2 linked regions of the Coturnix japonica genome follow. Each later gene encodes a partner of the first gene's protein in a complex. Links are inferred from orthologs where the notes say so. Each region holds a gene or a part of one and is shown in the gene's direction. Other genes may lie near its edges.

Region 1 (3,649 bases):
GTTCTTTGCTGGTATCTGGGCAATTCCAGATCCTGGTGTGATTAAAGTGCCCTGAGCTGGGACTAGACCGAGTCCCCTGAAAACATCACTTAGCTGTGCACACCTCTGACCTCTTAAGAATTTTGCTCAAAAAGCAGAAATCTTTTGGGACTTAGGTCTGTATTCTGGTCGTCTGGCTGTGAGAGGCAGGCTCCAACATTGTAATGGTCAGAACGAAACAGCAGCTCCATCTCCTCCATCACAGGGAGCTTGTTCCCTTGTTGACTTAACTAGGAAGGTCCCCAGAACACCATCAGAAGTAGGTAGGAGGCATTGCAGAGATAGCAAGAGAATACAGAAGACGGTCATCCATCTCTTATTAGCATTATTAGCTGCCTCACTGAGCCAAAACATTTAAGAAGCTGACAAACCGTAAATGATTCTCTCTCATCTACACTGTGCTGTAGGACCAGGTTTGGACCAGGTTTACAGTCTCTAAATAGATTATCAGATAAAGTACCAATGTTGTAAATGGACTGTGGATAGGCTGGCCACTGGTCTGATCTGGAGGCGCTTGTGATGATTGGTGGGACATCCCCTCACGGACAAGCAGTTGGCTCAGAAATGGAAGGGCAGGCTGTTAACAGCCCTATTAATAGGGCAAGCATTACAAAACTGCTTAAGGGGATATTAAAATACAGGATCCACCTAGGTCTAACAGAACCTTTGCAGCATTGGACTTCATCTAGAAAGATGCCCTCGGGTACATAATGAGATCAGAGCTTGCTGGTCTGTGCTTATCTGTGGCACAAAACCCGTCACAGTGGTGGAGTCCCCATGGTGGGTGTCCTCTCACAGCTCAGTGCTCTCTGTGCTGTAGGGCTGCTGGGCTGAATATGCCAGCTGGTGGCTGCGCTGGGTCTGGTCTCCTGGGGCTGCAAAAATCCCCATCTTAACAGCAGGCAGAGATGTTCACAGGTGGAAAAGCTGTTCCATTCAATAGTAGGTATGGCAAAAAGCCTCAAAACAAGTTTCAAAGTGAGCACCTGGTCATTAGCTGATTTGAGTAAAACTTTCTGTCCATAAGAACACACATTTGTAAACTGGCAGGCTCCTGCTTGCTAAGGCTGAGTGTAGCACAGGAGGAAGACCTTGAGCTTCATCAAGATGACTCCAGAAGTGAATCACTGTTGCTCAAAGAAGAATTTGGCATGGGAAATGAGCCTGTGTTCTTAGACACTGTTCCACCACCAGCCCATCTACAGAACTCATTTCTGTGGGACACCGGTGTTTTGAAGACAGGGGCCAGCTCCAAGAACACAATTTCAAGGTTGCCAGGTCTTCCAGCCTATTTATCACAGGCTGGAACTGTGGCTTAGGAAAAAAAAACAAGTGATTTTTGTGTGTGTGGTTTTATTATTTAATTAAAAACACAACAACAACAAAACCCCACAGATCTCAGCTGACACGAGAGCCTCGTGTTACCTTGGAGAACAGCCAGAGGTCATATGAGAGGCTCTGCAGGACTGCAAACAGATCTGCACGTGGGTGTAGAGCAGGAGTTGCTGTGCCTTGCCTGCAGGAAGCCTTTAAGCCTTAATGATGCTACAGCCTTGAAGGCCAAGGGAGGTCAACAGGAGAGGAGCAGCAGGGATCACTGCTTTTTCCATGGGACCAAAATGGTCCCAATGAAGAGATGCTCATTTTCTCTTGGGGAAACATTGTGATTTTTACTCGCACTCTTGTTGGGCACTTGTGAAGTGGATTTTTCTGCTAAGCAGGCACGCATCCAGGCAGAGCCTTGCTGTGCTATTTCCTGCTCATGTGTCTGATCTCTGTAGGCTGCACAGCAGCCTCTGTCCCCAAAGAACTCTGTATCAAGTACTAACCATGAATTCCTCCTCCAAGTCATGAATGAGAACTGACCTTAGAACTCAGTTCCTTTAGTATGCCCTGGAGAGTCACTGCTCCTGAGATGTCTTCTGCACCTCATACCTATCATAGAGTCATTGGATGTGGAAGGGGCCCTTAGAGGCCATCTAGTCCAATAAGCAGGGACACCTGCAGCTCAATCATGTTGCTCAGAGGCCAATCCAGCCTGTTCTTGACTGTCTCTAGGGATGGGACATCCACCACATCTCTGGGCAACCTGTTTTAGTGCCTTACCAAACTCTGTGGACAATTCTCTGGCTTTCATTACAGACCTTGACATCGTCTCCTGTAATAAGATCACTTTCTGTGTGGCTTCACATCTCCAGAATGAGCACAGAGTTACACCATCACAGTTATTGGGAATGGGCCCCACAAGGAACAAAGGAGGTTGTCCCTTGTGTTGGTTGGGGTTGCTTTGACAAATGCAGGAAACTTACAAGCATTATCAACATTTGATGAGTTGGAAGAGACAGAATTAAGAATACTGTGATTGATCTCCACCGATTCTCTGGCTTGTAGCATTGAAATAATGGTGTCAGTAGTGAGAAGATTTTCAAAACATTCCAATGTAGAGCAAATTAGAGTTAATTTCTCCTGCCATCTCTTTAGCCAGACAACCAAACGCAAAGGTGGTGACATGTTTAGCTGGAAGCTGTTTCTCAGTCACTTCTGGCATGAAATCCTTAGCCTTTCCCTCTTTTTTTCTCCTAGATGAGTTGGGCATTTGCCCAAAAGGTGTCACCTCCAATGTGTTCCGCTTTAACGTGTCCTCAGCAGAGAAGAACAGCACCAACCTGTTTCGAGCAGAGTTCCGGGTGCTGCGTGTGCCCAACCCGAGCTCCAAGCGCAGTGAGCAGCGCATTGAGCTCTTCCAGGTGAGTATTCTTCTCGCCTTCCTCACTGCCTCAGCCAGAACAGCTTGGCTCCCTAGTGACTGCCCCAGCTTGTGGGTGCAAGGCCACAGGTGAGAGGAAAAAGAGATTCCATACTTCGCTCCATGCTTCTTTCAGCATGTAAGCAGTGATACAGACATATTTTTCTCCTGTTTCAGTGTGGTGCTGTCCTTTTCCCCACTCACACTGCCCAGCTGTTGTGAGTACAATGAATTATGCAGCTCTTTCCTATACTCAAAGGGGTTGGAAGAGGATCCTCTCACCAGCAGAGAAGCCCTGACCCTTCTGCCTAAGTCCCTTGGCAGAGCTGTTCCTCTGACTGTCACAGTACAGTGCAGTTGGTGCTAATCCAATGGGTGGAGCTCTCTGACTTTCAGACTTACTGGAAAAGAAATGCTTGCTTTCAGTGTTCCTTTCATCAGTTCTGCAGGGACAGTTTCTGGCACCTTTAGCGCAGGTGCTCATCTGGAGTTTGGTTTGAACTCTTGGTGTCCGCTGGCAAGATAAGGTCTGGTTCAGATTTGGAAGCGGTCTCTGGCCGTGCTGGATCACACAGTTAATGGTGCATCCTGGCACTGTATTCCCACAGGCTGCTGCTGTCTCTCTGCTATGCAGTAACAATGCAGCTAAAATTGCCCTTTAGCTGTTAGCTCTTAAGGTCTGCTTGGAATTCATCTTTCAAAGGCAGAGCAGTTCTCCAGCTAACAGACGATAACAATTGCTAACAGACAATCCCAAAGCTTCTCCACAGGCTCAGTGCAGTGTGGGATGAACCAGGGGTCCTGCAGCAAGGGGCACTTTGTACAGGCTGTTGGTGTCTGTCTGCAAATGGGATGTCAGAGCAG
Region 2 (3,749 bases), on another chromosome or scaffold:
ATGCCACAAGAAATTGTTTTAGATGAGTAAGACACTCCAAGATATAGAATGAAATTGAAGGAGACTTTGGAATGTTGTAAATAGAAATGTTAAGGTGTGGTACCACAACAGCCGAAGGTGGGCTATATCCAAACTGCCATATTCCCATCCCTCTGTCATCTCTTCCTGACTCTTTCTCCCCTCAAACTGGTGCTTGCACCAGGGTGGGCAGTGACAGAGGGCAAGGAACTCTGCCAGCTGAAGATCAGCCCACCTACAGAAGGTTTGTGGATTTTTACTGGATGAGGTTGAATCAGCTCACTGTTTTTTTGGGGCACCAATAAGAGCCAAGGGGTGTGAACATGAGGGCAGGGCAAAGGTAGGCTTGACGTAATCCAGTTGGAGCTGCTATGAAACTACCTGTGGACTGTGTAAATACTAGTAAAATCGGATGTGCCTGGGAATGTTTCCAGGCACTAGAATGAGATTCTCTGTGCTATGAAACTGTTTAAATTCTTCCCTGGCAGGGATTTGACCTCTTCCAATTAACACTCTCTGCAAACAATTTCTGGGCACAATTTGATTGCTAGAATGGTCCCAATAGGCAATTTGCAAGCAGAAACGCAGTTCGTTCTGTGCCAGTTGGCCTCCATGCCCAGGAATGCTTCCAGGCATGTTGGGTTTACTAGTATAGACCTATCCCTACTGTCACATCCTGCCCCAAAATTGCAGCTACCACCCGGTTTGAAAAGGGAGGTCTGAACCTGTCAGTTCTCATGATGAGAGCAGCTCAGTTTCACAAGCCAACTTTGCTGCTTTGGTGGGATTTCTGATGATGGAAAAACAGGTCATACGTTTTTAGGACAGAGCAGCAACACAACAGATGAAATTGCTATTTACACTGCAGTGTGCAGAGCCGGTTGCATACCCTCCCAGTGAGAAAGGAGTTGTACTGAACAAATCATTTTCAGAACTGAGAGTAGCATAACATAAAAGCTAGATGAAATCTGGGAACAATACATTTTATTTCCTTTAATAATGCTGTAAGAAATGCATATTTTGCCTTCATTTCTGGTTGGGTTGGTGAGAAAAGAGATAGCAATAACTTTATGTTGTATCTGCAGTGCTGCAGAATGTTTGGGCACTTGCGTGGGCATGAAGCTGAAGTGATTTTTCTCAAGTCGGTTGCAGAACTGGGTATGCAGTTATTCCTTCCTCTGCATATTAAGAGAAAAAGCCACAATTGCAGTGTTTCCTTTCCAGTTTACAATGTTAATAAAACCAGCATGCTCTGTATCTTGAATGACCAAAGCCAGGTCCTCAGCTGCAACAACTGAATAATTTCTGTTCTTCTTTTTCTTTTTTTTTTTTTTTTTTTTCCATTTTGCCTTTACAAGCTTCCTTCCACACCAGGGAATCTGAAAAAATGGGATTTTTACATCTCTCCAGGTATATTCACTTAGCCAACCTTATGACCTCTTACCTAACATATTCTCTCAGGGAACAATTAAAGGAATTGTTTTAGAGTGGCTCAATACACACACACAAAAAAAAACCCGACTCTCGGATGGGTTGCTTTAGGACCCAGAGTAACTGGAATTGACAGAAGTCTTCACCTGAATGAATTTTCCTTCTGATTGTATACCTTATAAGGAGTACAGGAAAACAAGGAAGTGATAACCATGTTCAGGTTACCTCTATGTACAGCCTGCAGTCTTTACCTGCCCAGGTAGCTGTTGTTTTCATTTCATTCATGTTCTGTGCTGATAGGTTTGAAGTTTCCTCGCAGTCCGTTGTAGGTGACATCTGAAAACATACACTTTGGGAATTTATGATGATTTTTATGACATTCTGCCTTTCCGTGGACGATAATTAACACGCTAATACTTTTTGTCACACAGCCAGCACTGAAAACGAATGGGGATTGAATTGCTTTGCCTCTTTTTCCTATTTCTTCAAAGAAATAATGATGTGCAAGGTAAGACTCAGGGACAGGGAGATGCATTTCAAAACCATTTTTGCTTTGTTTCCTGCTTTAATTTGATACTAAATAGCTCTTTGTCTTCTGTATTTAACTGCTCCTTTCTGTTTGATGACTGTTTTCTTGACATGCTGCTGAAGGGCAGCCCTGTGAATTTGCCTGCGATTTATGCAGACGTTACATAGCAAAATATGTATGAAAGAGACAGGCATCTGAGTAGTAATGGTTGTACTAATCACTGTTTGATCCACTGAGAAACTTAATGCCTTATGAATGCCTCAGTGTTTCACCAGTACTTTCACAACAAATTAAAATAATATCAAGAATCTACAGACTTGGGTGAAGCAGTTTTAAGTACAGTGAGCATACACAAATCTGGTGGTTTGGTGTCTCTGTTGGTATTTTGGTTATGCTGGGAATGCTTTGCCCCACACCAGAATCAAACACAAAGCTCTGGCAAGTGCAGTGAAGCAAACTAGTAGCAAGTTCTCATGTTCTCAGAGAATGTGCACCTATAAAGCATGCAAAAGTATGTTAATTATCAGCAACCGTGTTGTTCTTTTTTTACCCAGAGCGTTAATGTTCTACCAATGGAAATATCCTTAGGGAAGGACTTTATCAGTAACACTACATGTGGCTAAATGTTTATATTATTTGCTTCCTACGTTCTCAATGTAAGCAGATTCTTCACAGACCAAACGCTTAAACGCATTATTAACAGCCTTTTGTCTTCTTGGATTTAAACTTAGGGACCTGTTCTCAGGAAAGTGGAGTGACTTGTGAAGATTGTTTGCTTTCCGGACCACACTGTGCTTGGTGTTTCCAAGAGGTAGATGATACCAAAAATTTCAAAGTAAAACTTGAAATGTTTGTAGTGGCTCTGAGTGACGAAGTATTGACTTAATTGGGTTAGCCCGTGGTTTTGTAATGCATACAGAGCTTACTGAAGCCTTCCTGGGAATCAAAAGGGGAATTCTAGCATGGACTTTAAGCTGTATTATTATCTGCATTGTATCAGCTCCGGCTGATTTCAAATATGGCAATAGTGTTAGTTTTCTAATTAATTATGATATAGGTGCGACTGTTTTGGCTAAAACACAGGGCTTTAACATAAATATTTGGATTTGTTTCTTACTGGTCTCTTAAAGGTTTTCTGTGTAACTCTGGGCAAGTCAATGTACATCTCTCTGCTTTTAAAATCTTCCCCTGTATAAGATAATAAATATCTCCATAATTCCTAGTAAACATTTGAGGCCCTACTTCATTAATGCTGGCAAGAAAGTTAGCTGTCATTATTTAAAAATTGCCAGAAATAGTGAGAAATTAAATATTTTTATGATAGCAGCAGAACTGTAAATCAGAAACTATTCCTAGCTATTTAAAATAGCAGAATAACACATAAGATAGGAATACTGTATTGCTGTGTGAAGTAACTCACAAAGATCAAAGAATACTTCTCTTGAAGAAGATTACTAAATATAATTCAGCAATTTGTACGTACTGTTACCATGGGGGGGGGGAGGGGGAAGGGGGGTAGGGAGCACATAGAACTACACACTCCGAAAAGAAAAAAGAAACCCACCCAATTTACAACAACAACAAAACATCAGTGTGTTTTCAGGAGTTTCTGTTTGCACTTAACCACCAAAACAGGATTTTCTTGACATTTGATCAGGATTTGAAATACTGCCACATACATTCAGAAAATGAAAAACAATGTGTTTATTTAAAAAATCCTCTATAGGATAAAAATATGCCTTCTAGGTATATTTGAAACATGAGTTTGCCT

What was found. The genes of interacting proteins can lie anywhere in the genome.
Region 2: the proteins of TGFB3 (region 1) and ITGB6 are in contact, whole or in part, in a crystal structure (PDB 4UM9), measured with the Homo sapiens proteins. The link is inferred for Coturnix japonica from reciprocal best matches to the Homo sapiens genes TGFB3 and ITGB6. Residues at the interface, in NP_001316868.1 of Homo sapiens: His259, Gly262, Asp263, Leu264, Arg266, Leu267, Lys268; in NP_000879.2 of Homo sapiens: Ser142, Ala143, Ser144, Asp147, Pro196, Cys197, Ser199, Ile200, Tyr202, Cys204, Ala234, Asn235, Ile236, Asp237, Thr238, Glu240, Asp271, Lys355.

Annotation. Positions count from the first base shown.
Region 1 is NC_029520.1:34,888,070-34,891,718, reverse strand, and holds part of TGFB3 (transforming growth factor beta-3 proprotein), read left to right. Parts: intron 1-2,622; coding exon 2,623-2,786; intron 2,787-3,649. UniProt on the Homo sapiens protein: Transforming growth factor beta-3 proprotein: Precursor of the Latency-associated peptide (LAP) and Transforming growth factor beta-3 (TGF-beta-3) chains, which constitute the regulatory and active subunit of TGF-beta-3, respectively.
Region 2 is NC_029522.1:24,910,380-24,914,128, reverse strand, and holds the start of ITGB6 (integrin beta-6), read left to right. Parts: upstream 1-1,363; 5' UTR 1,364-1,428; intron 1,429-1,880; 5' UTR 1,881-1,896; coding exon 1,897-1,957; intron 1,958-2,709; coding exon 2,710-2,789; intron 2,790-3,749. UniProt on the Homo sapiens protein: Integrin alpha-V:beta-6 (ITGAV:ITGB6) is a receptor for fibronectin and cytotactin. It recognizes the sequence R-G-D in its ligands. Internalization of integrin alpha-V/beta-6 via clathrin-mediated endocytosis promotes carcinoma cell invasion.